Coturnix japonica: one gene and its partner. The protein of the gene in region 1 purifies or fractionates together with the protein of each later gene. This does not show direct contact. Links are inferred from orthologs where the notes say so. Each region holds a gene or a part of one and is shown on either strand. Other genes may lie near its edges.

Region 1 (12,425 bases):
CACCAGTGGCTGATTTTTCTGGGAAGAACTAACAGCACATTGCAGCTCACAGATCAGTTATGTCCAGCTTAAATCTACTGCTGCAGCTGTAGAACTTTACAAATTTTAAACTGTTGAATTTACTATGATGCAGAACAAGAGACAGGCCCTTTTAAGATCTTACAATCCACTAACGTCCTTACTAGTTTGTTCTGGGGAAACTAGTCCCTTTACTTTTCATTCACATCCAAGCAAAGACTTTTCTAGTAATTGTTGGGGATGGAGGGAGGGAATCCTTGAAAACTTAAAGCTCTGATGTTGCCATCACATGATGTTATATCAAACAAAATGAAAAACTCTTCTGACTGTGACTCAGAAGCACTCCAAGGAACGCTGTACAAGACTGACTTTATTTATGTTTTCTGCAACTAAGCCATGCTTTAACTGTTTTTTTAAATAATAATAATAAAAGCTATTAAATAAGAATTTGCCAGATCTAGTTTTGGAAGCAGCCCATGTGGTAAATGAGTCATCTCAAAAACTTAGCTTAATTTTGCTTTCCAAATCTATCTTTTAAAAAATAAAAAGGATTTCTCCAATCAGGGCAGACGTAGTCCTAGTTAATATGTTTCCTATTTACTGCAGAATATTAAAAAAATACAAACATTCACAGTTTGCTCTTTTGGGGAGGCACAGTGTATGTCGTCATTACATCAATGAGCACCTTTTGCCTAGAGATAAGAACTCTGTGGCTGCCTCCATGTCAAAGATGCAGAAGGACCTGGAGAAAAGCTTGGCAAGATCTTCTGATCTGAAGTTCAGAACACCCTCCTACGTGAGCCAGGCCTGAAAGATCCAAGTCCTCTCTGTACTGGGACAGGAACTTACTTCAGTAATTGTTCATACCCTTGATCCTGTGGCCAATTGCTGATTTAAGTGGAAAAAGCAAAATGAATCATTTGTGTCACAATATCCCATCATCAGAACCCTTCTCAGCTGCCCTTCTGCCAGGAAAAAAAAAATATTGGCTTTTTATTTATTCCTACTCTAAAAGGTAACGCTTGCTGATAAACACTATCTCTTCCCAGCTGCATATCAGACTAAGCAAAGACATAAACCCTCAAAACCCACACAAAAACACTGAAGCTACAAGAGCTATCTGGTCATCAGAAATGATAGCAACAAAGTTGTAAACAACTTGGTAAGCCTTCCTGCATAATGTTTGGGATTTAGCTTTGGATTTATAGCGGGGGAAGAGGAGAAAGATGTCCTCCTGGTGATCTTAAGGAGGTCAAATCATGCATTCTTCACAATGGCAATTCACACAGCTCGTGGAATCATAGAATGGCTTGTGTTGAAAGGGACCTCGAGGACCATCAAGCTCCAACCCCCCTGCTGCCAACCTTCACATTTAATACCAGACCAGGCTGCCCAGGGCCCCATCCAACCTGGCTCTGGACCCCTCCAGGGACAGGGCATCCATAGTCTCTCTGGGCAGCCTGTTCCAGCACCTTACCATTCTCAGAGTAAAGAACTTCCCCCAGTAGCCAACCTAAATATTCCCTCCTTTAACTTAAAACCATTTCCCCTTTTCCTTCTATTATCTACCCTTGTAAAGAGCTGACTTGCCTCCTGTTTATAGGCTCCCTTTAGGTACTGGAAGGCTGCAATGTGTTCACCTATCAGCATTCTCTTCTTCAGGCTGAATAAGCCCAGCTCCCTCAGCCTGTCTTCAAAGTTTCACTCTGAGGTGCCCTGCTTAAATCTCAATGAGAAACAGTATATGGCAGCTTGGAGGATGTTTAGGTCTCAGTTCAGTGCAAGTCTAGCCAAGCCTGTTGCCCTGAGGCACATGGCACTCACAGGGACAGTCATACCACTAAGGATTCCTGCCTATAGAGTGGCAGAGAAAAGACAGGCAGATTCAAATCTTGTGACTGCTCTGAGCCTTCTGTATTTTCATGCAGTTCAGCTTGGATGCAATTCCAGAAATTTTACTCAAATCCCAAAACAAGTCCCAGGACTTTTGACTTTGTTTAACCTACTCCATCTACATGAGAGACTTGCTGTTCTCACAGATGAGCCATGGGGACCTGTTTGTGTATGTGCACAGTTAACAAACAGTCCCAACAAAATCAGCCTGGGAGCACTGACAAAGCAAAAAGCAGGAGGAACTCCCAGCATTCAGATTTGTTGTCTTGCTTGTCTAGGGAGTGCTTGAGCACAGCTGTGTGGATGCTTGGAAATGAGAAGCAAAACCTAAGGGAAATGCCTTCAGGATATATTATTTAACTAACTCTACCACAAGCTAGAATCTTAAAGTATGAAGCTTAAACAAAAAGCTGTTAGGAAAACTGTCCAAGACTCTGTACAGAGTTGACCATCCTAGCTAACAATTCTGATGAATGTTAATCAGCAAAGCACTAAGGAATGTGAATCATTTATCAGAATGGTTTTTAGAAACATTGTTTGAAGAAGATACATTAAATGTTTTAGGTAATGGAAGGCTACAAAGGATTCATACAATATATGATTCATACAATATAACAATCCTCACCGCATTCCAACAGCTTAGTACAGTTTTCTTCATTCCCACTTTATCTGCAGTTATTCCTTTCTGTTCCTCATTTCCCCACTAGCGAGACTGTAACACATCCATCTCTCTTATCAAAGTATTTTTGGTGTAAAATAGAGGCTTTAAGTGAACACTGCACACAATGTGTACCTAATCAATGTCAAGACCTCAAACATCACCAGGGGCACAATATGATTTCTCATGGATTCAGAGCATTGTGTTTTAATATTTTCCTCTTCTGGTTTCCCAACAGCACTCTTTACAATGGGTGGCAATGGTGATGGACAGCCATGCAAGTTTCCCTTTAAATTTCAAGGCCAGTCCTATGACCAATGTACAACAGAAGGCAGGACAGATGGATACAGATGGTGTGGAACCACTGAAGACTACGATAGAGATAAGAAATATGGATTCTGCCCAGAAACTGGTATGAGGAACACAGTATGAATAACAGTATAATTTGTCATTGCTTTAAGTAACAAAAATATTTCTCACACCTTTACCAAAACCTACAGAAGTCACTAAGCCAGGTACAATTTCAGTATTGGTGGCCAAGGAAGTAACTGAAATGGAGCAATCTGTGTAAGGGATACTGTATGTGGCACACAGTACTACAGCAGATTTATCCAGGATATACAAAAGTCATTGAACCGTAGGACTAAATGTCTACCACTGCATGACAATTATGAGTAGATTACAATTTGCTAATGGTCCTGAAAGAGAAGATTCGGGACAGAATAGAGCATGAGCAAAATTTTAACTCCTGATTCTCAATAAGTAATATTTTAACATTTACATATGGGGAAAAATAAATCCTGTTTAGAACAGTAAGCTTGAACTAATGGATCTTTTTAGCAGATCAGGAGAACCGAGGGAAATGTTTTAAGCAGGAAAATAAATCCCTGCTTTCTCTACAATTTTTTTTTTCTTTTCTTTTTTTTTTTTAAACTTTTTTTTTTTTTTTTAAGCTTTTTTTAGCTTGGCATGTTTTCAATTTTAGGATACAGGCTACAGATACAATTACTGAGACTTAATGAGTAAGTAGTTGCAGTTCTAAAATCTCAGCCTGTTGCCAGAGGTGAAGCTGTGCTCACACACAATGGGCCATAAGCCTCTGTGCACAGCCAGCACAACTGCCAGCTGGGAGCACACAGGTGTACCCTGCTTTGCCAGTCTTGTGAAAATGCCCGACTCATCTGAAATATGGATTTGTATCAGTGTCTGGTTTCCTGATACTTCTGATATCTGGGTGCAACTTTTCAATTTTACCTTAGAAATGATTATAGAAGAAAAAATTAAAATTAAAGAAAGGGTCAAATTCTTTGTATCATCATACATAGTTAAGAAGTTAAAAATCTGAAGCATAGTTCAACAGCAAAAAGAAGCAATAGAATCCACAGCTCAACAAGTAGAAGAACCTGAAGCCAATCTCTTATGAGATTCTGGATCTGTGTATGACATATGTAATTGGAGGCTGTAAATACTAAAGAGTTTCCATTACTGAAACAATGAAATACATGTAAGATTAAGCTTTCCAGCTATTTATTTATATGTTATTACATATTGTCATATACTTCAGGGCTGTGAAATATTTTAGGGGAAATTTTTGCAAGTTTTTGTTTCAGTATTGTAAAAATAAAATAAACCACTCAATTAGAGAAAGTTTAAAACCACGTGCTTTCAAAATGCATCCTGCTGCCAACATAAAGCAATTCTTCAATCTATGAGATATGACGTTTTGACTTCTCCACCAGACTTTTTTTCATTGAAAGCTTATATTTCAGTGAAGACAACAAAGAACCAGGAGATACTCAATGGCCCTTTGACTTTTCTGACACTAAGCCTACTGTGGATCTTCCTTAGATACATTAATACAGGAAACACATTATCAAAATGACAACAAAATATATTTGCTATGCAACCTTCCTCCACAAAACATTGCTACCCATTTCTTTCTCAAAGCTGTACACAGAGGGCCAGCAATTCTTCCCATCAAAAGTAATGACATGTTCATAGCCATGGCAATAGCTAGACCTTTGCCTTCTTTCTGTGCCAGAGGATTTTCTTCCTTAATATTACTTTTAATCTTATTCTTGACATTGTTAAGAGTATTTCAGATTTTTTGCTCACTTTGCCTTTTTAATGTTTAGCTTCAGAAAATATTCATCTGATTAAGCTTACAAATGAGATTCCCTTATTACTGTTTCTCTACTGTTTTTCACAGCCATGTCAACAGTTGGTGGAAATTCAGAAGGAGCTCCTTGTGTATTCCCCTTCATCTTCCTTGGGAATAAATATGACTCCTGTACAAGTGCAGGTCGCAATGATGGCAAGCTGTGGTGTGCTTCTACCAGCAGCTATGATGATGACCGCAAGTGGGGCTTCTGTCCAGATCAAGGTAACACGGTGTCAGAGCACCAACCATGGTAACAACACAGTAGTTTTTCTTCCATGAGCAAATTTCCCATCAAATTTAATACGCACATGTACTATAGAATTTATCACATTACATAGGAATGAGACTTCAGTGCTAATCAAATCAGGAACAAACACTAAGTGTTAAAAATGAATCCATTTGGAACACATATTGCCAGACATGAAAGGAAAAGAAAGGGCACGGGGAGTTAGGAGAGCCCTGCTAAGTTTATATACTGAATACAAGTATTTAAAGTTTAATTAGTTAATAATTGATAAAATTAAATAATGTAAAAGCATTTTAGCTAGATTTGGATTTTTGATTATTTTCCTTTTTACTATATTTTAGAGACTGTTTGGACATAAGTGATAAAAAATGTTCCTACAACAGATTTTTAAAACCTAGTCTTTGGTACAACAGTGCTGGTTCAGGCTTTGTTTAGGGTCAGAGCTATTCAGACCTGTTTAACACTTCAATGATTTGAGATCTAGATGGCAAGTTCAATTCTTCTGTGCTTAAAAAATATCTATGACTTAATTTATTACACTTCCTTGTTTCACGTAAGTATTAAGACTGACTGTGTTCAAAATTATATGTGAGACTACAGCAACATCAGATAGAGGTTTCGCATTCTCTAATGAGATACCATTCTGGATCTGTGTATGACATATGTAATTGGAGGCTGTAAATACTAATTATTTTGCTTAGGATTGGGAAACTTTTGACAAATATCAATGAAATGAAACCGTAACTAACCTGCATGGTGGCTTTTTATTGAGATACAACGCAGATGATACTAACTTGCTGTGTTATCCAGGATACAGTCTCTTCTTGGTTGCTGCCCACGAATTTGGCCATGCTATGGGATTAGAGCACTCTGAGGACCCAGGAGCTCTCATGGCCCCGATCTACACCTACACCAAGAACTTCCGCCTTTCTCAGGATGACATTAAGGGGATCCAGGAGTTATATGGTAAAGTTGTCCCTCATTGGCAGAATTCATCAGAAATGTAAGGAGCACAGGTTGACCTTTGGGACTTTGAACCCGCAGTAGATGTCCTAACACACAATATCACAAATACCAGAAACATCCTGTTCCTTTCCCTAGTTGCTTCATGTTACTGCCAGGGGTTTTACTTTAAAGACACAACTTAAGGATGAGGAGCTATTAAATTTACTGCAAAAACAAGAGCCTCCAACCTCCTCCCCCCCTCCCCCGACAAATGACAAGCAAAGAGTATGTTATGAAACGCACATTTTGATTAGTGTTAGAGACACAAGGACCATACACAAATTGCTCATAATTCATCTTTATAATCTGTAAAATATTAGCACTAGTAAAAAGAAGAAAAGTCCATTCTGATGTCTCAGCTGAGTTGCAGAGAATTCTGAATAGAAGGACTTCAAAGTGCATTTCCCTTCATTCTACAAATCACTATAGTAAAAACTGTAATGTTAACATTCAAACCCAATGTAGTCAACCCTGCATCTTACACTTAAATAGACAGCTAAACACAACAGGCACAGCTAGGTGTGCTATCTCCAATGCTGTCACAGCAGATTCGGGCAGGACTGGAAGCTAAGGCCTTCTCAGCGGGACACAGCCACCCTTCCTTGTAAGACTTCATTAGAATTTTTTACTCTTCAAAACCTTTTTCAAAGATATTCCCTTGTATTAATTATGATTGGTTGTGATCTCCATTATGGATGCAGCACTACATTACAGCATAATAGAACACCCAGAATCCCTCTCTTTGCTCTTACAGATGTATCACCTGATGTGGAACCCGGACCAGGGCCAGGACCTGGGCCAGGACCACGTCCTACCCTTGGACCTGTCACTCCAGAGCTCTGCAAGCATGACATTGTATTTGATGGAGTAGCACAAATTCGAGGAGAAATATTTTTCTTCAAAGACAGGTAAGTGAGATAAATTGTATCCTGATGGGGCCTGAAGTATCAAGCCTGTTCACTGGAGTCTAGGAAATTACAATCAAATACAATCTGTTATTTCTTTTGTATGCCCAGAAATAGCAACATGTCCTAAGCAACTCCTAGGAGAAAAGAAATGGCACCTTCTCTTGTAATGGTTAGGTAACACAGCCTCCTGCACACTGCTGTCAGACCAGTGTTCACCAGGTCCTCACCTCACCAGTAAGTAGTGGTGCTTGGGGCTGTTACACCTTCCAGTGTGCAGGACTTCCCAGCCCACTGTGTAGTTTTACAGTGATTTTTAACTTTTGTCTTCCGTCTGCACTGGGAATGTTCATACCAAGATGTTATGACAGCTGGGCCAATACTAGTTATAACCAAAATCTGAGCAAAATGCAAGTAACCTCAAGAAAGAAATAACTTGTTCTCATGGTATCTTCAGCCCAATCATACAGACTGGAGAGCTAAAATTAACCTTGGTGTCTCTGCAGGCTTCTACAGAGCTGCAATCAGCTCTAAAGTGTCAAGTAGCTGGGAAATGTATCTCAACTTCTACATGTTTACACAAGTATCTGACTCCCCTCCCACATCTTAAGAGATTTACCAGTCCGTAATGTGAATCAAAAAATTAGCAATGGAAGAGATGCATTATGCCATCTATTACCTGCCAAAGAAGGATTCACTCCCTATAAAATATTTCCCAATGTTTCTACAAGGATAGTAATTCAGCACTGGAAATCCCATTACTTTCAGCTGAGTACAGTTCTGGAGGCACTATCCTTCCTTATTTCATTCCACATAATCTGCACTCCAGAGGAAAGATTCAAATCTGACTCTGGGAAAATTTCCAACCTGAACACATCTCAACAGAAGTACTCTATCCAGAACTGGTGACAAAAATCTCCAGTGCCTCCTCTATCACAGAGACAATGTCAAGCAAAACTTGAATGTAGGCATTACAATGGCCTGGTCCAAAGAGGATCTGTTTTTCTCCCATGTGCACAAAGACACAGCTATGGAAATCTCCCAGCAAATCTGTCCTTGAATGGTTTTATCTAGGTTTAGTTCAAAATCATTAAATACTAGTATTATGTGGCACACAGCTGCCATAATTACACATCAAAGACACTGATGATTACAACAGGCCGCATGAGTGCAAAGGCTCCAAAGCAGAAGACACAAGAGGCCTTTTTGGTCCAAAAGAACACATTCCTGATAAAACGAGGCAGCTGCACAGCTGCAGCTTCCACTGCCTTTGCCAGGCCCTGTATTACCCAGCTGCTCAGCAATGAAGAGCATCTCCTAAAGACTATGAGACTTGGCGTCACCATGCTTGAGATACTCTAAAGCTCTATTCTCCCTTCCATAAATCAAAGCCTGGTTTATCCATTCATCCTCAGTTGCTGTGAACATTCTTCCAAAGCAGCTGAAGATCTAGGACCATGTATTTTCAGCGTGTATGCCCAAATCAAACTTCATCTCCTAGCATATGTAAACACACAAGTATCCCAATCTGACATACTGAAACTCATTTTTTCTTTGCTCCTTGACAGATTGTCAACAAACCAAAAATAATCTTTATTGAATGCTTTAAGTTTCAGCAATGCAGAGGCTGTGATTATGTTATTATAACTAGGAACTTCTAATGTTCCCCATTTGGATTACAACTACTACAGGCAAAAAGGATTTGTTCAGTATGTCCAGGAGGCAGAGTGTAATACTGTTCCTCTGCCCCAAAAGGAGCAGGATCAGACCCCTTATAAGCCAATCATCTGTAATAGCTAGAAATAGCCCCTGCTTGGCCAAAAAATGGTCTCACTCTACCAACAGGCCAGCTTCACAGAAAGCCAGCTCTGGACCCTTCCTCCAGAAAACTGCAGAGCTGGCCTCAGCACTTTGGCCTAACAGGTTTGCCAAAAACAGCATTCCCCTCTGCTAGCATAATCAGAGCACTCAAGTATTCACCGCATCTCAGTGCTTTCAAAAAGAAAAACACATTCTCAAAGCAGTAAACATCCTTACAAGTTCCACAGTGTTCACAGCATCCTTACTGTCTTTGGCTCACCTGTGCGTGTTGGCTTTCAGCCACGACCTCCACCTCACTTCTGCTTTTGTGAAGCAGTAACCACACAGGGCTTGATCCAGCAAGGAACCATTTTAAATCAATTTCAAAATCAGCAGAGCAATTCACTGTTCTTTGTAATCTGAACAAAATAGAAGTATTCTGCATTCAGATCCAGTCGGTCAAAGAACTATGCAAATACAAGACAATCTGTTCATCTGCCTCAGTCCTTATCTAACATTCAGCAAAAGCAGACAATTGTTTAATTGTTTCGCTCTGGAACAGATTTGTCTGTCAGTCTTGCAGCTTTCAAAATACCAGGCAAGCAACACTATGATTCACTTTTGGAATTCAAGAAACAAAATGTCTATTTTGTTGTGTGACTTCTATGATTCATGAAAATGATTCCAGCTGTCACATTACATTGCCATAAGGAGCAAGTAGTAAAAAAGGAGGCCAGATCAGGCAAATTCTCTCAAAAAATAATCTTTCCTTTTCCTTCAAATCACATCTGAAACCAAATAAATAAATGGGAATACACAGGGAACCACTGAGCCTTTTACTGGATCAGTATTTTCAAAGCAACCAAAATGTTTGACTATGACCCAGCAATTTGGTCCCTCTATATAACTGCATATACTAGTAATATTACAAATTATAATGGCAAATATTATGCTAAAATATAATGTAAAACACCGAGCATAAAGTTGTATGAAATCTCTCTCTATATAATATTAAAATTTAGCCTGTTTAAACATTTCAACATTTTCAAAGAGAAATGACAAAGCCAAGTATTTCCACCATTTCCTCAATAAGAGGAGTAGTAAAAACACTTCTTACTCAATCAAGAAACAAAAGGAAATACAACTCCGGCAAAGATTCCCTTTCCAAGAGAAAACCTCACCATTTCAACAAGTCCCTCAAAATGTGTGCTTTAATAAAAGCTCCTGTATTCAAGTCTCCATTGGCTCTAAAAAGTTTGGAACTCATGCAAATAGAAATTATTAGTGCTGACTCAGCCATAAATCAGTTCCAAATTTGACTAAGAATCCTATAACCTGCATCTGTAAAGGAGCTACTTTTATGAATGCAGTGTTGGAAAGATTTTGTATATGGATCTCCATTTTATATCATATTAAATCTACTTTGCTGTCTAAAACAAGATAGACAAAATACATATTATCATTATCTTTTACTGTATTTTGAATGCACTTTAAAACTTCCCTAAGAGCAATTAGCTAAACACCTCATTTTTCTCCTCTTTCCTAAACAGAAGATTATGTGATATACTCATATATTTTTGTACACATTAAAAATATATTTGTGCTTGCAAAATGAGAGTGAATTAGCTTACCACTACATTAATTATTAGTACCATATGTCTGATTTAATGAATACATAATTTTAATGGAGTGAGAAAAAACAATGCGCTTTGCCAGTTGCCTTCATTTCAAACACCATCTTAATTCAGTACATGGCAACTAATTATACTTGCAAATGCATTTCAAAATGATTTATTTGTCCTAGCTAATACTGTTTGTTCACAGTCAAACGTCTGTTAATAAAAACACAGGAATTTATCATATGACATTAGAACTGTTTCTCCACGTTTTGGATTAAAACATATGAACAAATCACTCCCAGCTCCTATGTTTCTGAAAGGTTTGATTATTCTGGATAGTAAGGGGTAATGATAACTTATTCTCTGCAAAAAAATCATATGCCAGTAGCACCTTGATCTTCAGCAACATAATAATGGTGAAAGCTGCTTGACCTGAGAACATAATAGCGACAGGCTTGGTGCAAGAATGATTCCACTAGCCTGCTCATCCTTCATTTTATGACAATGGCAAAACTCCTATTTTGTGGAGGAAAAAAGTTGCTTGTTCTGTGGAGGAGGAAATAGCAGTGCCATTTTGAGTGCCATAGGCCCTCAGCACAAAGCTTTGCCATTTGAAGATAATTTCAGCTTTTTAAACTTTATGTCAAATGATGATTCTACTTACACATAAAATACCCAATAAATTATCCTTTGCATTTCTCTAATGAGCACTATTAGAGCTAGCAGTTTCCTTTACAACCAAGCTGACTTCCAAGCAGACTGATACACCGTTATTAAATTTGAACCTCTAGTCACTACAAGAGTAATTGCAAGAGCAATCCATGGAATACCCATCTCTGCTTCCGTCAAACGTTCATCCATCTGCTCTACACACAACAGCAGGAGAGCTCTAATAGTTTAAATGCTCTGTAAAGAGTTTATTTGTGTAATCAAAGCGCAGAACACATTTTGTTCTGATGCAAAAAGCAACATGAACTCAAAAGCAATCAGCATAAGCAATTTAATCTGCAGTTCAGCATGCAACTTCTTATGCATCTGTTTTAGCAGTAGATTTCTAAATGATTTGGTTTTGCAGTCACTGTAGGAAAACAATTATAAGTGTGTGCTGCTGCTAATGTGTATGTGTATGTACGTGTATACATGCACATGTGGCCTTTGCCAGAAATGATTAGAAACAGATGTGCTGGTGAATTAGTTCATTGTAAACCTCGTACTATTTTGTGTTCTGCTCAGATTCATGTGGAGGACTGTAAACCCACGAGGAAAACCCACAGGTCCTCTTCTTGTTGCTACATTCTGGCCTGATCTGCCAGAGAAAATTGATGCTGTCTACGAGTCCCCTCAGGATGAGAAGGCTATATTTTTTGCAGGTACTGTTTTTAGTTCTAAAATGTAATTATTCGTTTGCATAAATGCTGCACTCAAGCTCAGGTTCCTCTGAGTTGTAACTAGGTCAGGGAACAGCCTGCCTGAGAGTAAGCATAGCCAGTGGGTATGGGTGGCAGATGTCAAGTATCTCACATTGAGGACATTGCAACAAAGGCAGGATCTGAAAGGTTCTGAACAGCATACAGCCCCCATTACAGCAAAAGGGAGCCAGTACCACCCAGAAAGAAGCATTCAACAACAAGCAGGACTAAACAAGAGTTATTACCTAATATGCAAAGCAACCCAACATTTGTTCTTTCTGCTTCCTCTCATGATAAGCTATTGTCTCTGTGCATGTTACTTGGGAATATTACATCTTTTGTTCCCATGCCTCTCCTGCTCTTCTCCTTTGCCAAAGATTGACTTCTACTCTGGCATCCAAGGATCTGCCATGGTAGCTCACCAGCAAAGGAAAAGGGGCCATGCTCACTGCCTGCACCAGAGGGATGATTTTAGGCAGCGCTGCTCTGGCTATCTGGAGTCACACATATGGTTCAGCTGCACCAGCCAACTTAGCAGAGCAGGGAGGCTGTTTCCAACATGAAAAACTGAGCCAGCAAAAACTAGGCTCCAGTATCTACCAAAAACATGACTAAACATCTCCAATCATATAAAAACCACATGGCCCACGCTCCTGTACATTTTCTGTACAGGACGGAAAAGAGTAATGGTAATCTATTCCATATGTCTC
Region 2 (12,425 bases), on another chromosome or scaffold:
CCCTGCTGCATTAACTATGAAGTGGTCATGCACTTGTTCCAAACCTATACTGTGCACCCAGGAACTGAGCTTCCTGCACCAGCCATTCCAGGGATTTCAATTGAAATGGATCTGCAGGACCCCTTGGGCTGATGGTATCAAGCCATCACATGGAAGTCACCCCTTCATATGTTCTCATTTATTGAGTTGTGCATTTGAAGCATTCTACTGCTGGATTTCTTTCTATATGTTGATAGCACTTGATGTTCCAGTAATCTTTTCCTTCCTCTTTCCCCACGCAGGGCTCTCCTGGTGAGCGAGGTCCTGCGGGCTCAGCTGGCCCCATTGGCTTACCAGGACGACCTGGTCCACAGGGACCTCCAGGACCTGCAGGTGAAAAGGGAGCCCCAGTAAGTACCAGTCCACAGATTAATGGATATGGGCCCTGTAGAAATAGAGCTGAGCATGGAGACAGACTGGGCGAGGTGTAAAAAAAGGAGAAGGAAAATAAGAAGATGCTACACGCTCCTGAAGCACGAAGCGTGCTGGTCGTCTGCTGACACCCGTGCAAAGATGCTGTGAGCAGATCTATGCCATATGGTCCTGCCCAGCACCCAGCCCACGTACTGTCACATCTTCTGCTCCCCCAGCACAAGCGTGAGATGCAGCAGGCAGGGCAGTGGGTGGGATGCTGCTCTTGGGTTGATGCTGAGCAGCTCAGAGCAGCTAGTCCAGAGGCAAGCATTTCCCAGTGAATCAGCCTTATGAACATCTGTCCTGCCCAGTATCTATGTGATATGCTCTTGGACAGATGAATAGGCAATTTATGTGGCATCTAATTATTCAGAAGAGAGCACCAAGTCTCAGATGCAATTAAATTATATATGAGGAAACTGAAAAATATCTACTGTTCGACTCCTATAAACAAACATATTTGAGCAAAGGCTCCAGGCTTGAGGAATACAAGTAGATGTTAACTGGGAGGCCAGCAGAGATTGCTTTATTTGCTTCATGTATTTTCCATTGTCCAGAGGTTCAGGAGGGAGCTCAGGGCTATTATTTAGCGATTAGCCATGGACAGGCAGCCCTAGCATCAGTAAGCACTGGCTTGTGGGAATTAAAATTAGTTGGAGACTTGTTTATCATCCAGAGAGAGACGGCAGAGGGTTCAGATTAAATCTAGTTATATTGCCACGGCAGTGAAATTGCAGCTGTGATCTGGGTATTCACCGTTTAGATTTGCTTGGGTTTTATCTCTGAAGATAGAAGTTTTGTCTTGTTCAGAGAGGGAGCACAGAGAGATATCAGCTGGAGGCCAGTCTTGCTACACATGCCCGTACAAGGCAGGGGTCATTAGCAGCTGAATAAAATGCTAATGGCCTTTAATGAGTCAATTGGAGAGTGGATGCATGACCTTCCTATTCCTTCTGCTTCCAGGGTGAGAAGGGTCCTCAAGGACCAGCAGGTCGTGATGGCATCCAGGGACCCGTGGGACTCCCGGGTCCAGCAGGTCCTGTTGGCCCCCCCGGCGAGGATGGAGACAAGGTGGGAACAAACAACCTCCCTGTGTTGTGCAGTGTCACTGGGAAGGAACTGGGTTGTCTACCCCATGGCCACTCTGCTGGCATTGGGTCAAACATGCAGGCTGTTGTGACACAAGGGTGTTTTATGGCACTTGCAGTCCCATGGGACAAGTGGAATTGGGTTTGGGAGAGAATGAGGCTGATTGCTTTGCAAGCACTTCTCAGCTGAAGCTGTTAGCCTCCCCATAGACTGTAGCAGGTGGCCTGCCCTCAGGTGCCTGGCCTTTCCAAATTAATTACCTTTCCCCACACACTCATTAAGACCCTCTGGACTGGAGAGTTCTTAGGAAACGATAGCTGGGATGTATCACTCATCACTGCTAACAAGGTCATGGGATGATGCTTCTGCATCACACAGTGGTTCAGGAAAGCTTAAGGATGCCAAAGGATTTGGTTACACCTGGAGCAGCCAAATCTTTGGCCTCTTTCAGAACTCGCTGGGTTGGTTCTGTGGGGATCAGCATCAGGGCATGGGACTACTGCTGAGTGGGGTGTGAGGTCCCCAGGTGAGCTAACAGTGTTCTTTGCACCTGGCAGGGTGAGATCGGGGAGCCTGGCCAGAAGGGCAGCAAGGGTGACAAAGGGGAGCAGGTGAGTGTGATGGATGTCATCTATGGCTGTTTTTTAGCTGAACGTGTGGTTATGTCTCTGCAACCAGAGAATGGTGCTGTTTTAATTTCTTCCTCTCTTTCCTTTGTCTTCTCCTTTGCTTTGTCAAATACACACACAGCGTAAAAATGAGTGTGTCTGCTGAAGTGTCCTCCTCCAGCTCCCTTGAGAAGCTTCCCTGTCACCTATATGCTATGTAAATATCTCAAGGATCAGCAGCACTTGCCTTTGGAGTTGGGCGTTCAGCTGCAATTGCTTCTTCAAATGCGTATGGCACACTGAAGGTCCCTTTGTGTGCTCAGAGCCTGGGGAATGGAAAATTAATTGCACAAGTTCTCCTGCAAATGTGCTGAAGGATGAGGTCAGGTTAAGCTGGTTTTGGCTTCTTGGCCCTGCAAGTAGGTACCTGCACCTACATGCAGAAGGTGATGCTGGGCTAAGGGTGATCTGTCAGAACCCTGGTGCATCCAGGGGGCTTGACCCCATCCTCCCCCTGCTCTCATTCAAGAGTTTATGCAGATTTAATGGATGCTATGCTCAAGGGCCTCTCATTGTACTGGTGAGGTTTTTCACTCTTTATACCTAAATGTGACTGTGCAATTCTGTTTCCTGACAGGGTCCACCAGGTCCTACAGGCCCACAAGGTCCGATCGGTCAGCCAGGTCCAGCTGTAAGTACTGTTAGCAGGAATTCTTCTTACCCCAAAATCAATGCTGAGAAGCACTGGACAGAACAGCAGTTTCTGCCAGGTGCTGCTGATACCCAGTGCATGCGGATGAGCTGCAGGTGGAGGTGGTGGGGATGGGCTTTTTGCCTGCCATGTGCCCATGCTAAGCTGAATCAGGCTGTTTCCTTATAGGGTGCTGATGGAGAGCCAGGTCCTAGAGGGCAGCAAGGCCTCTTTGGTCAGAAGGGTGATGAAGGACCTCGAGGTTTCCCCGGTCCCCCTGGCCCTGTGGGCTTGCAGGTAAGCTATGGCATCCAGTGGGTCTGGGGTGATGAGGGCTGAGGCTCTGTGGGATGTATTCACAACTACAATTATCCCTTTCTGTCCCCCCACAGGGCTTGCCTGGACCTCCAGGTGAGAAGGGAGAAACAGGTGATGTTGGGCAAATGGTAAGAAGCTTTTCTCCTCCTGTTTTCATCATTAATGTATGCATTTTTCCAAGGAGCTTGTCTGAAATGTTTCCTCTGTCCCTCAGGGTCCACCAGGTCCACCTGGGCCCAGAGGCCCCTCCGGTCCACCAGGAGCAGATGGACCCCAAGGCCCTGCTGGGGGAATAGGAAATCCTGGTGCTGTAGGAGAGAAGGTAAAGCATGTACCCCAACCTGACTGAGGGCTGCAGGTTTGCTCCAACACTTGCTGTGAGTGGGGTGGTGATGGGGTAAATGCATGGCTGTGTTCATGCAGTCTATCAATAAATAGGTGCCATTTGAAGGGAGGAGGCTTCTCCCAGTTTGAAGTGCATGTAGTGATGTCTGGGAGGTACTTATGTTAGTGATCATTTCTCAGCTAAGTAAACAGATTCATGTATACTGTGCATTTTTGTTAATATAAGCCAAGGAGGTGGAAATATACCTGAAAAAGAAAACAGTGATGCTCAATGTCCAATGACTTGCTGAAGCTTGCAGCTCTTGGAGGCCAAAGGGGTTGAGCATGTCAAGGTGTAACTGTAGGCATCCTCTGTTCCTCCCTGTAGGGTGAGCCTGGTGAATCTGGTGAGCCCGGTCTGCCTGGTGAGGTCGGCCTGCCGGTAAGTCTGCTGCTGTGGAGGAGAGCTTTTCTCCACCAAGAAATTGGCTTAAGGGGTTTCAAAGATGCACAGATGTTGCTGGGGCTGTAGGGACTGAACCAGCTGTGTCCTTTGTGGTGGGCATCAGGCAGAGACACTGCCATGTTCTGTGGTGTTCATGGGATAAATTTGGTCACTGAATGCAAGCTGTGCATGACAATGTCAACACCACTGAGTCTTTGTGTTTTAAGATATAGATGGGTTTCTTCAGAATTGATTAGAGGATAATCAGGGATCAGCAATAGTAATAGAAACACCTTTTTTTCTTTCACAGGGTCCAAAAGGTGAAAGAGGTGAAAAGGGTGAAGCAGGTCCCTCTGGTGCTGCTGGTCCACCTGGCCCTAAAGGTCCACCAGGTGATGATGGTCCCAAAGGCAGCCCTGTAAGTACCCTCTCCTGTCAAAAGAGTTCTTCCTCGTCTTGTCTTGTGGAGATTTTCACATGGGAAGTTTTTTTCTCCAGAGATTTTTGCAAAATCTGAAATAATTTACCAACCAGATTATTGCCCATCTAATATTACGCAATGATAAGCCCATTACTTCTGAGTGCTAATGAGGAAAAGACCCAGTTGTACCTTGTCTTCCAGCAGTACTTGAAATGTTAGGCTCTTCTTGCAGGCTACCAGGAAATTCATCCCTATGTAGAAGGTGGTACATCTACTTTGCACTGGAGTTTATACATTGCCAGTGTCCTCTGCACCAATGCAAAGCTTCCAAAATAGCCTAGAGGAGATTTATGTGAATTTGGGAGCCATATCTCCAGGGTCAGATCCCTGCTAATGCAAGTTGTTGTAGCTCTATTGAAGCCAGCAGGGCTGTACTGATTTATACCAGATGACAATGGTACGATATTTGTCTTCCCTGGTCCTTTGATGCTTGTTGGCTGAAGAAATTCATCATGTGATAAGCAAAGATGGTACGAAGCAGCAGAGGAGGCAGGGGAGTTAGTCATCTCCCTTAACAGATGGTTTTTGAGATGCCACATTATTGGTTGAAACCTATTGTCTGAGCGGTGCTCTGAGGATCATTTGAAGTGCACAATAGGATTGTAGGGCGAACTGTGGTGAAGTTATTTTAGTCATCGAATGATCTGAGAGTATCTTCAGGTGAAAAATGTTACACATTAAATGGAAAGGAAAAGCAAAACCTTCTAATCTTCGCGTTGCCCAGAGCTGAGAGGATTCTGCTGTCACTTGTCTAATATATTTATGAAAAGCTCGATGAAATCCCATGTTGATACTGGAGCTTTGTGTAAACTGGCTGCAGAGCTGAACTGGTAACCGTGACGGGTTGAAATTACTGAGCACATAAAGCTGGGATGTGAACTGAGCTTAGGTTTGAGGGTAAGGATTTTGCTCCCCAGGGTGGATGCACACATTGGTCATAGGGTGATGGGTATGAGTGCTCTGCAGGTTTGCAGGTGCAGTCTCTGACCTGGGGATGTCTCTCCTCTCTTTGCAGGGTCCAGTTGGTTTCCCTGGTGATCCTGGTCCTCCTGGAGAACCTGGCCCAGCTGTAAGTGTTTGTCTCACAGAGGGGCAGTCGTGTTCCTCCTCTTGATGTTGTGGAACACGACTGTGTGCTGTTCATTCACCATTAGCTCTTCTGTCATTTACTTTACTTGGGGAACAGGTAGGAAGTCCCACCATAAGAACTTTCTTTTGGGGCAGTAGCAGTGTAAAGCTTAACAACAAGCTGAACAACACCTGCAGCTTCCAATACTTTATTTAGCTCCATTCGTACCCTCAATGTGCCTGTTTTTCTTCTCATGTTTTAGGGTCAAGATGGTCCCCCTGGTGACAAAGGTGACGATGGCGAACCTGGTCAGACAGTGAGTAACCAGATGGATGGGATTTGTGTTCAGTTCCTATGGTTACTGTGTGCGGGTGCAAAGAGTTGAATGCAGAATGATGTACAGCAGCTGATTCCCACCAGCTTCCTCTGAGCAAGTCCTCTGCTCCTTCCCAGTCCTGTCCTCTCTCCTGTCTATGTGAGCCTGGCTGCTGCCATCCACCCAGGCTGCTCAGCAATACATCCAGAAAGCAAACAGTAGCTTCTAGAAAAACAAAATCTAGCCTTTCATTTTAATTTTTCCATGCCTTATGGTATTACATGGTGGGAAGAGATAAAACAGGATACCACCTGCACCCTAGGGAGGTGTCAGGAGTTGTACCGACCACCCACACCCTGGCTTGGAACAAACTCTGTATCTCTGCTTGAGTTTTACACGCTTACTTGTTCCTCCCATGTCTCATGGTGCAGTTATGACTTAATCTCCATTCTCCATCTAGGGGTCCCCAGGTCCTACAGGAGAACCAGGCCCCTCTGGACCCCCAGGAAAAAGGGTAAGCAAGTCATTTAAGAATGATTTTCCACATGTATTGGTATTTTATATATATATATATATATATTTAAAGCTAATTTTAGTACTAGTCTAAAGTAAATGTAAAGCAGTAACATGAACAAAAGAACTGAAGCAGTCTGCCATCCACAGCCATTGGAAATCAATGGGAAGTTTGGAGCTGAATTCTGTTCTTGGTGGTTTTGCTGTTGTTTTCTTAAGATTCTAAGACCCAAAAGGAAACAAAAGTTGCTCCAGCATTTCCTCTCTTGCTGGTAGAGCCCAGGGGCTTGTGCAGCAAGAAGTGAATCCGTAAAGCTTTTCAGAGATTTGCCTCTGTGTTGCCTTCCTTCCTGTGGCCGTGGCATTGCTTAGGTAGCTCCATTACAGCGTTGCATCTAACTGAGTTTTGCATCTATTTTGTGCATTTTCTAGGGCCCTCCTGGTCCAGCTGGTCCTGAAGGAAGGCAAGGAGAGAAAGGAGCCAAGGTGAGAGCTGAATGGGATTTCTTTCTTACCGTGTCTTTCATGTGCCAAACCACTCACCCTCTGACATTGTTATTTGAAAGACAGTGATTTGATCTTTGTTGTGTTACAACAAATTAGCCTGAATCTGGGGCCGCTGGCCTCAAGTCTGAATGTGTGTTTCATCTTTTAATGAACTCCATGGAGATAATCAGAGCTTGGTAAGGTCACGGGAGTGTTTTTCTTGCTTTGAAATGACAGAGTGCCATATTTGGCAATTTAATGTGCTGTAAATGAAATGGCACGCAGAGTCCTACATCATATCCCAGAGCTAACACAGCATTATTGGACCGTGGTTATTTCAGTAGGGGTAATGGGGGAAATGTAAAGCGGGATTGCAAATTACAGATTCAATTGTCATGGCAGCCTCAGGAATGCTGATGGCGGAGGACACGCTCTGCTAGCACATCTCCCAGGACATGAGCAAAGAAAGCTTTGTGCTCTGGAGAGCTTGCAGCAAAGGCTGTTCCTGCTGTAAATCAGCAACTCTGAAAAGTGAAGTTGTTTGGGAGAACGCTTTTCTTCAGCACATCGAGGATAAGGAAGCAGTAAGAAAGTCAGCAGATGGAAAATTTTGTATGCTGTGCAGGGAATTGCATTTACTCTGTGATATCCTGCTGTGTCTCTGAGAAGATGGTTTAATGCCCCAATGCTTATTAAACCATGCTGTCTCTTGCATCCAGGGTGAAGCTGGTTTGGAAGGGCCTCCTGGGAAGACAGGCCCAATTGGTCCCCAGGGTGCTCCAGGGAAGCCTGGCCCTGATGGCCTTCGAGGAATTCCTGGTCCAGTTGTGAGTACTCCCAAATACTCCTCACACCTGAGAAAGCTTTGCAGTGGGGTTGTGTTGCTGTAACCCATCTGCCTTGGAAAATGCTTTTGTTCCCAGCATAAGATGCTGTTGACAAGCAAACAGACAGTTTCCATGCTTAAGTGCCCAAGAGTAGATGAAACATCCTCAGTGGAAATGGCATAATGATGGAAACCATCACCCAGCATGTTTTATCTGAGTGCTGGGTCTACTTGCCCTCTCTCTGGATTAACGTTTCATTGAGCTCAGAAGCCACATTTCCAGTAGAGATATATTTATACTCATTTTGTGCTCATATTTTTGCCTTTATCTGTGAGAAAACATGGCAAATATCCTCTGGCATTGTGACCAGACGAGGGTGGGTTCATAATCATCTGGGAGCACTACTGTTGTGAACAATGAGTTTGAGAGGACTGCACTGTTTTACAGGGTGAACAAGGCCTTCCAGGATCCCCTGGCCCAGATGGCCCCCCAGGCCCATTGGTAAGTCCAAACCATCAAACCTGATGAGTGTTTGAGATGGGAGAAGGCTTTCTCCATGTATTCATTCTCCCCTTTGTTTTCCCTCCTGTCTTCCAAAGGGTCCACCTGGTTTGCCTGGCCTCAAAGGAGACTCTGGTCCTAAAGGAGAAAAGGTAAGTTCCATGCATGACCCCATTGGGTGGCCTGGCATCTGTGTCTGGGTGTGGGGCAGAGGGAAATGCTTGTGATGAATGTTAACATACAAAATGAACAGGTGCTCCATTGCAGCACTTTTCTGTCTGTATTTGTCACATTTCCTGTTGCAAAAAGGCAGTATTTTCACCTTGCTCTGCTACTTCCATGTGTCATGGATAACTATGTGCTCCTATCTCCTTGTTTAGATATTTGGGTTTGTCCCTATAAATGTCTTTCACAGGTAACTTTGGCATTCTGTTAAGTCCAGAGAGAAGATCGTAATTAACATCTGCCATCTTCCCCTAGGGTCATCCAGGTTTAATTGGTCTAATTGGACCTCCGGGTGAGCAGGGAGAAAAGGGCGACCGAGGTCTCCCAGGCCCCCAGGGCTCTGCAGGACCCAAGGGAGAACAGGTAAATGTTCTGTGAGACCTTCATTAATATGCTTTTCAAGTGTGGGGTTTACTGCCCTACAGTAGGTTTAGCATAGCAGAGATGGTCAGTCTCAGCATGACAACGTTGCTAGTTTTTTGAGTCATCTTTTCTATCTGAATGTGGTCTATTCTACGTATGAAATACAGAGATGCTCCAAAATGATCCACTTTAACAGCAATTGGATTCTTGAGAGTCGCATGAGAAGATCTGAGTAGACTTAGAGAGATGCAACACAAGTATGTGTCAGGAGGACTGACATACAGAGCTGTGTGCTTGAACAAGATTCCTCGGTCATAGTCTTGTCTGGATCATGCACACATTTAAAAAGCAATTTAAGCTTCAGATTTGTATGTCCCCCAAAACAAGGTGGTCAGTGATTAATTCCATAGTTGTGGGCCAGCATCGCTGCCTGCAAATCAATATTGTTCTACTCTTATTTTCAGGGTATCACAGGTCCCTCTGGACCAATCGGACCCCCAGGGCCGCCAGGATTACCGGTATGTGACCAGTAAAAGAGTAACCTTTAAACTCTTGGGGGACTGTTCAGCCCTTCTGGGGTCACCTTGGGGCTCCCAGATAACCCAGCACAGCCTTTCTGGAGTGACCTCATGTGATGATGCTAACGGCAATGGGGATTGCCCAGCTGAGCATAATACCAGCACTTGGATGTGTTTTGAGAGTGCTTTTTGTGTGCTGAAATGGACGGGAAAGAATGGGCACAAAAAGGAAGTGAATGTGAAGAGAAAAGAAATGCTGAAACTAGTATAATACAATGTATTCTGTCTCTCTCTAAGGAGAGGCTGACTTCACTGCTAACAAAGATACTAACTCCCTTCTGTATTTTTCTCTATGCAGGGTCCACCTGGTCCCAAAGGTGCTAAAGGATCATCAGTGAGTATAGACATTGTTAAGTGAAGAGGCTGAGGGTCTCTTATTAAGTGCACAGCCTGCTGTGACTCTTCCGTATCAGCAGTGTTGAGGCAATTAGCCAGAGATGGCTGTAGCAAATTCTCAGCTCAGAAATTATAATTGGGGAAGGTTTCTGTTACATGCATTGTACTTCACTGAACATCAGTGTAGCAAAGATCACAAGGAAGAATGCGGTGAATAGTCCTTAGGAGAAAAACTACTACTGTAATGCAGAGGGTCTTAAAAATAGACTGTGAAGCAGGAGGTGGCAAGCTGAAAGAACGAGGAACTCAGTGAGAAATGCAACACTGAACTGAGCTTCGTGTTACAGATCTCATAGAATCGCAGTGATTCTTTATCCTAGATCTAAATCCTATTCAGGCAGTTAAAAATTCCTCTTGGGCAGCTTCCTAAAGTTACAAATGCTTTTTACTGAGTCACTCATGTTTTTCCTTTTTTTCCACCTAGGGTCCAACGGGTCCAAAGGGTGAATCGGGTCTTCCTGGGCCCCCAGGGCCTCCTGTAAGTACAGACCATTACATAAACTTAATGGATGTTGTCATGTAGATTTCTAGAGTCCTCACAATGGAGTGACGTCCATTAGGGATGGCTGGGAAGATTGCAGAAGGTGAAGGGAGGGATTAGTAATGAGAGGAGAACAAGAGAAGAAGGAACCAATGTTGGTGGCTGGGGTTTTCCTCAATGCCACCGTGGGTGACTCAGATGTCTAGTGTGTGTCTTGTGATGCTGCTCTCCATCACCGGTGGCTGCTTTGGCTGTTTCTTCTGTCTCTTCCCCATTTGCACTGAGAAGTTGCATCTTCTTCCCCCATCCATCAGGGTCCTCCTGGAGAAGTCATCCAGCCTCTGCCCATCCAGTCTTCCAAGAGGACCAGGCGAAACATCGATGCCAGTCAGCTGGTGGACGATGGAAATGCTGACAACTACATGGACTACGCAGATGGCATGGAGGAGATTTTCGGCTCACTGAATTCCTTGAAACTGGAAATTGAGCAAATGAAGCATCCATTGGGCACTCAACATAACCCAGCTCGTACCTGCAAGGATCTCCAGCTGTGTCACCCTGATTTCCCAGATGGTGCGTCCTGGGACAGAGGGGGCGCAGGGAAAAACACAGTGGGTTCCCAACTCCAGCTGGTGAATATGGGTCAGTGCAGGAACACAACAATTCTTGGGACTCCCTGGCCCTTGTTGTCCCCTGAGGAATGTGGCTGACCAAAGAGGCAACACATAAAGTGTGGGGATATGTGTTTCAAAACAGCTGTTTGTGAAAGATCCTGCAGTATTATATGGCATCAACCACCATTTTCCTTAAAAATACATATAATAGTAGCCTACAATGGGGATGAAAGAGCCTGAGTAAGATGGTTGTTGAAATGCACTTGAATATCCCTTTACAGTGCTGATTCTTTCTTCCGCTCTCCTCCTGTCCTGCATCCAGGTGAATACTGGGTGGATCCTAACCAAGGATGTTCCAGGGACTCTTTCAAAGTGTACTGTAATTTCACAGCTGGTGGAGAGACTTGCATCTTCCCTGATAAGAAGTCTGAAGGAGTAAGTCTTTCTTTTTCTTTCATATCATGAAGATAAAAGATTGTTTCCTAATATGAGTATTCATATACATGGTGTTGATTGTGTTAATGTGTACTGATCTGCTTCGTTGACCCATACTCTTAATTTTTGTCACTTATCCACGTGCTGTTTTATGGAGCTGCTCTCCCTGCAGCAGAGCTGCTCTGCTGGACCCAGACTGTGATGCTCCTTAAATGCAAATTGTGCTACTCTTGCAGGGTACCATAAGTTTGAGAAAGGCTCAGCCTGCTGTTTTTTTCACAGGGAGGACCTTGAACAGCTATCACAGCAGCATTAAGTGTCGGATGAATGGTTTTATTATAAGCCATAGCAGAGTTTAAGACATATCCCCTTTCCGTCCGTCCTTAACGCAGTAGAAACACGCAAATTTGCTTTATGGTTTGCAGACTGTAAGGAAAGGACAGTCCCAGGACACCTGCAGTAAAGTTTGCCCATTGGTTTTGGAGAGATTTACAGCAGAAGTGAGGGAATTTTTGGAAGAGGAAGGAGAGCACACAGCAGCTGTGCTCTTTCCTTGTGCTTTGCCTGGAAAACAAGTGGTTCAGCTGCTCGAGTGGGGTGGCCATAAGGGATGCTCTGACACCACCCTTCTTGCCAAGGTCACTCCCTGTTCCACTCCAGTTGGTTGGAGCTCCACCACACTCAGTGGTCAAGCACTGTCAGAAGATGCTGCATGTGCTGCCCTGTGTGCTGCACAACTTCTAGAGGCACTCAAGAGGCTTTTTCTTAATGATGCTCTTTGCTTTTCCTAGCCCCACAGCATCTGGATTTGACATTAGAATGACAGCAGCCTCCTCCCTTACCAGCACTCTCACCGTTCATATTCATTTTTATTTTCCTGTATCTTTCCTTTTAGCTCTCCTGCCAATAGACTGCGCTGATGGTTTTGCATCCAAAGTATCTAGAATTAGTGATCATTAGTCCTTAGCAAAGGAGGCTGGTGCAGGCAGTGGCATCTCCTTCTGCTTGAGAGGCTGCTGGCACCGTAGGGCTGTGCCGGCTGGTCTTGTTACTGATGTCTAATGATTAAGAAAACATGCTTTTAAAACAAGTCGGCCATTTTCAATAAAACGTGCAGATGCTGCTGATGGAACTGAATGTAACTTCATTTCTTTCTTTTTTCTCTTTTCTTTCCTTCCTCATTGCCGTCCACAAACTAGGCTAGAATTACTT

Evidence for each region.
Region 2: the proteins of MMP2 (region 1) and COL5A1 purify together in Homo sapiens (co-immunoprecipitation; 3 studies listed by BioGRID and IntAct, counting the BioPlex papers as one, with this or other methods). This does not show direct contact. The link is inferred for Coturnix japonica from reciprocal best matches to the Homo sapiens genes MMP2 and COL5A1.

What each region holds. Positions count from the first base shown.
Region 1 is NC_029526.1:2,813,371-2,825,795, reverse strand, and holds part of MMP2 (72 kDa type IV collagenase), read left to right. Parts: intron 1-2,807; coding exon 2,808-2,981; intron 2,982-4,778; coding exon 4,779-4,952; intron 4,953-5,787; coding exon 5,788-5,943; intron 5,944-6,736; coding exon 6,737-6,890; intron 6,891-11,539; coding exon 11,540-11,676; intron 11,677-12,425.
Region 2 is NC_029532.1:6,046,098-6,058,522, forward strand, and holds part of COL5A1 (collagen alpha-1(V) chain), read left to right. Parts: intron 1-281; coding exon 282-389; intron 390-1,416; coding exon 1,417-1,524; intron 1,525-2,099; coding exon 2,100-2,153; intron 2,154-2,787; coding exon 2,788-2,841; intron 2,842-3,030; coding exon 3,031-3,138; intron 3,139-3,233; coding exon 3,234-3,287; intron 3,288-3,373; coding exon 3,374-3,481; intron 3,482-3,871; coding exon 3,872-3,925; intron 3,926-4,238; coding exon 4,239-4,346; intron 4,347-5,424; coding exon 5,425-5,478; intron 5,479-5,740; coding exon 5,741-5,794; intron 5,795-6,254; coding exon 6,255-6,308; intron 6,309-6,739; coding exon 6,740-6,793; intron 6,794-7,512; coding exon 7,513-7,620; intron 7,621-8,067; coding exon 8,068-8,121; intron 8,122-8,219; coding exon 8,220-8,273; intron 8,274-8,601; coding exon 8,602-8,709; intron 8,710-9,173; coding exon 9,174-9,227; intron 9,228-9,585; coding exon 9,586-9,621; intron 9,622-10,107; coding exon 10,108-10,161; and 6 more. UniProt on the Homo sapiens protein: Type V collagen is a member of group I collagen (fibrillar forming collagen). It is a minor connective tissue component of nearly ubiquitous distribution. Type V collagen binds to DNA, heparan sulfate, thrombospondin, heparin, and insulin.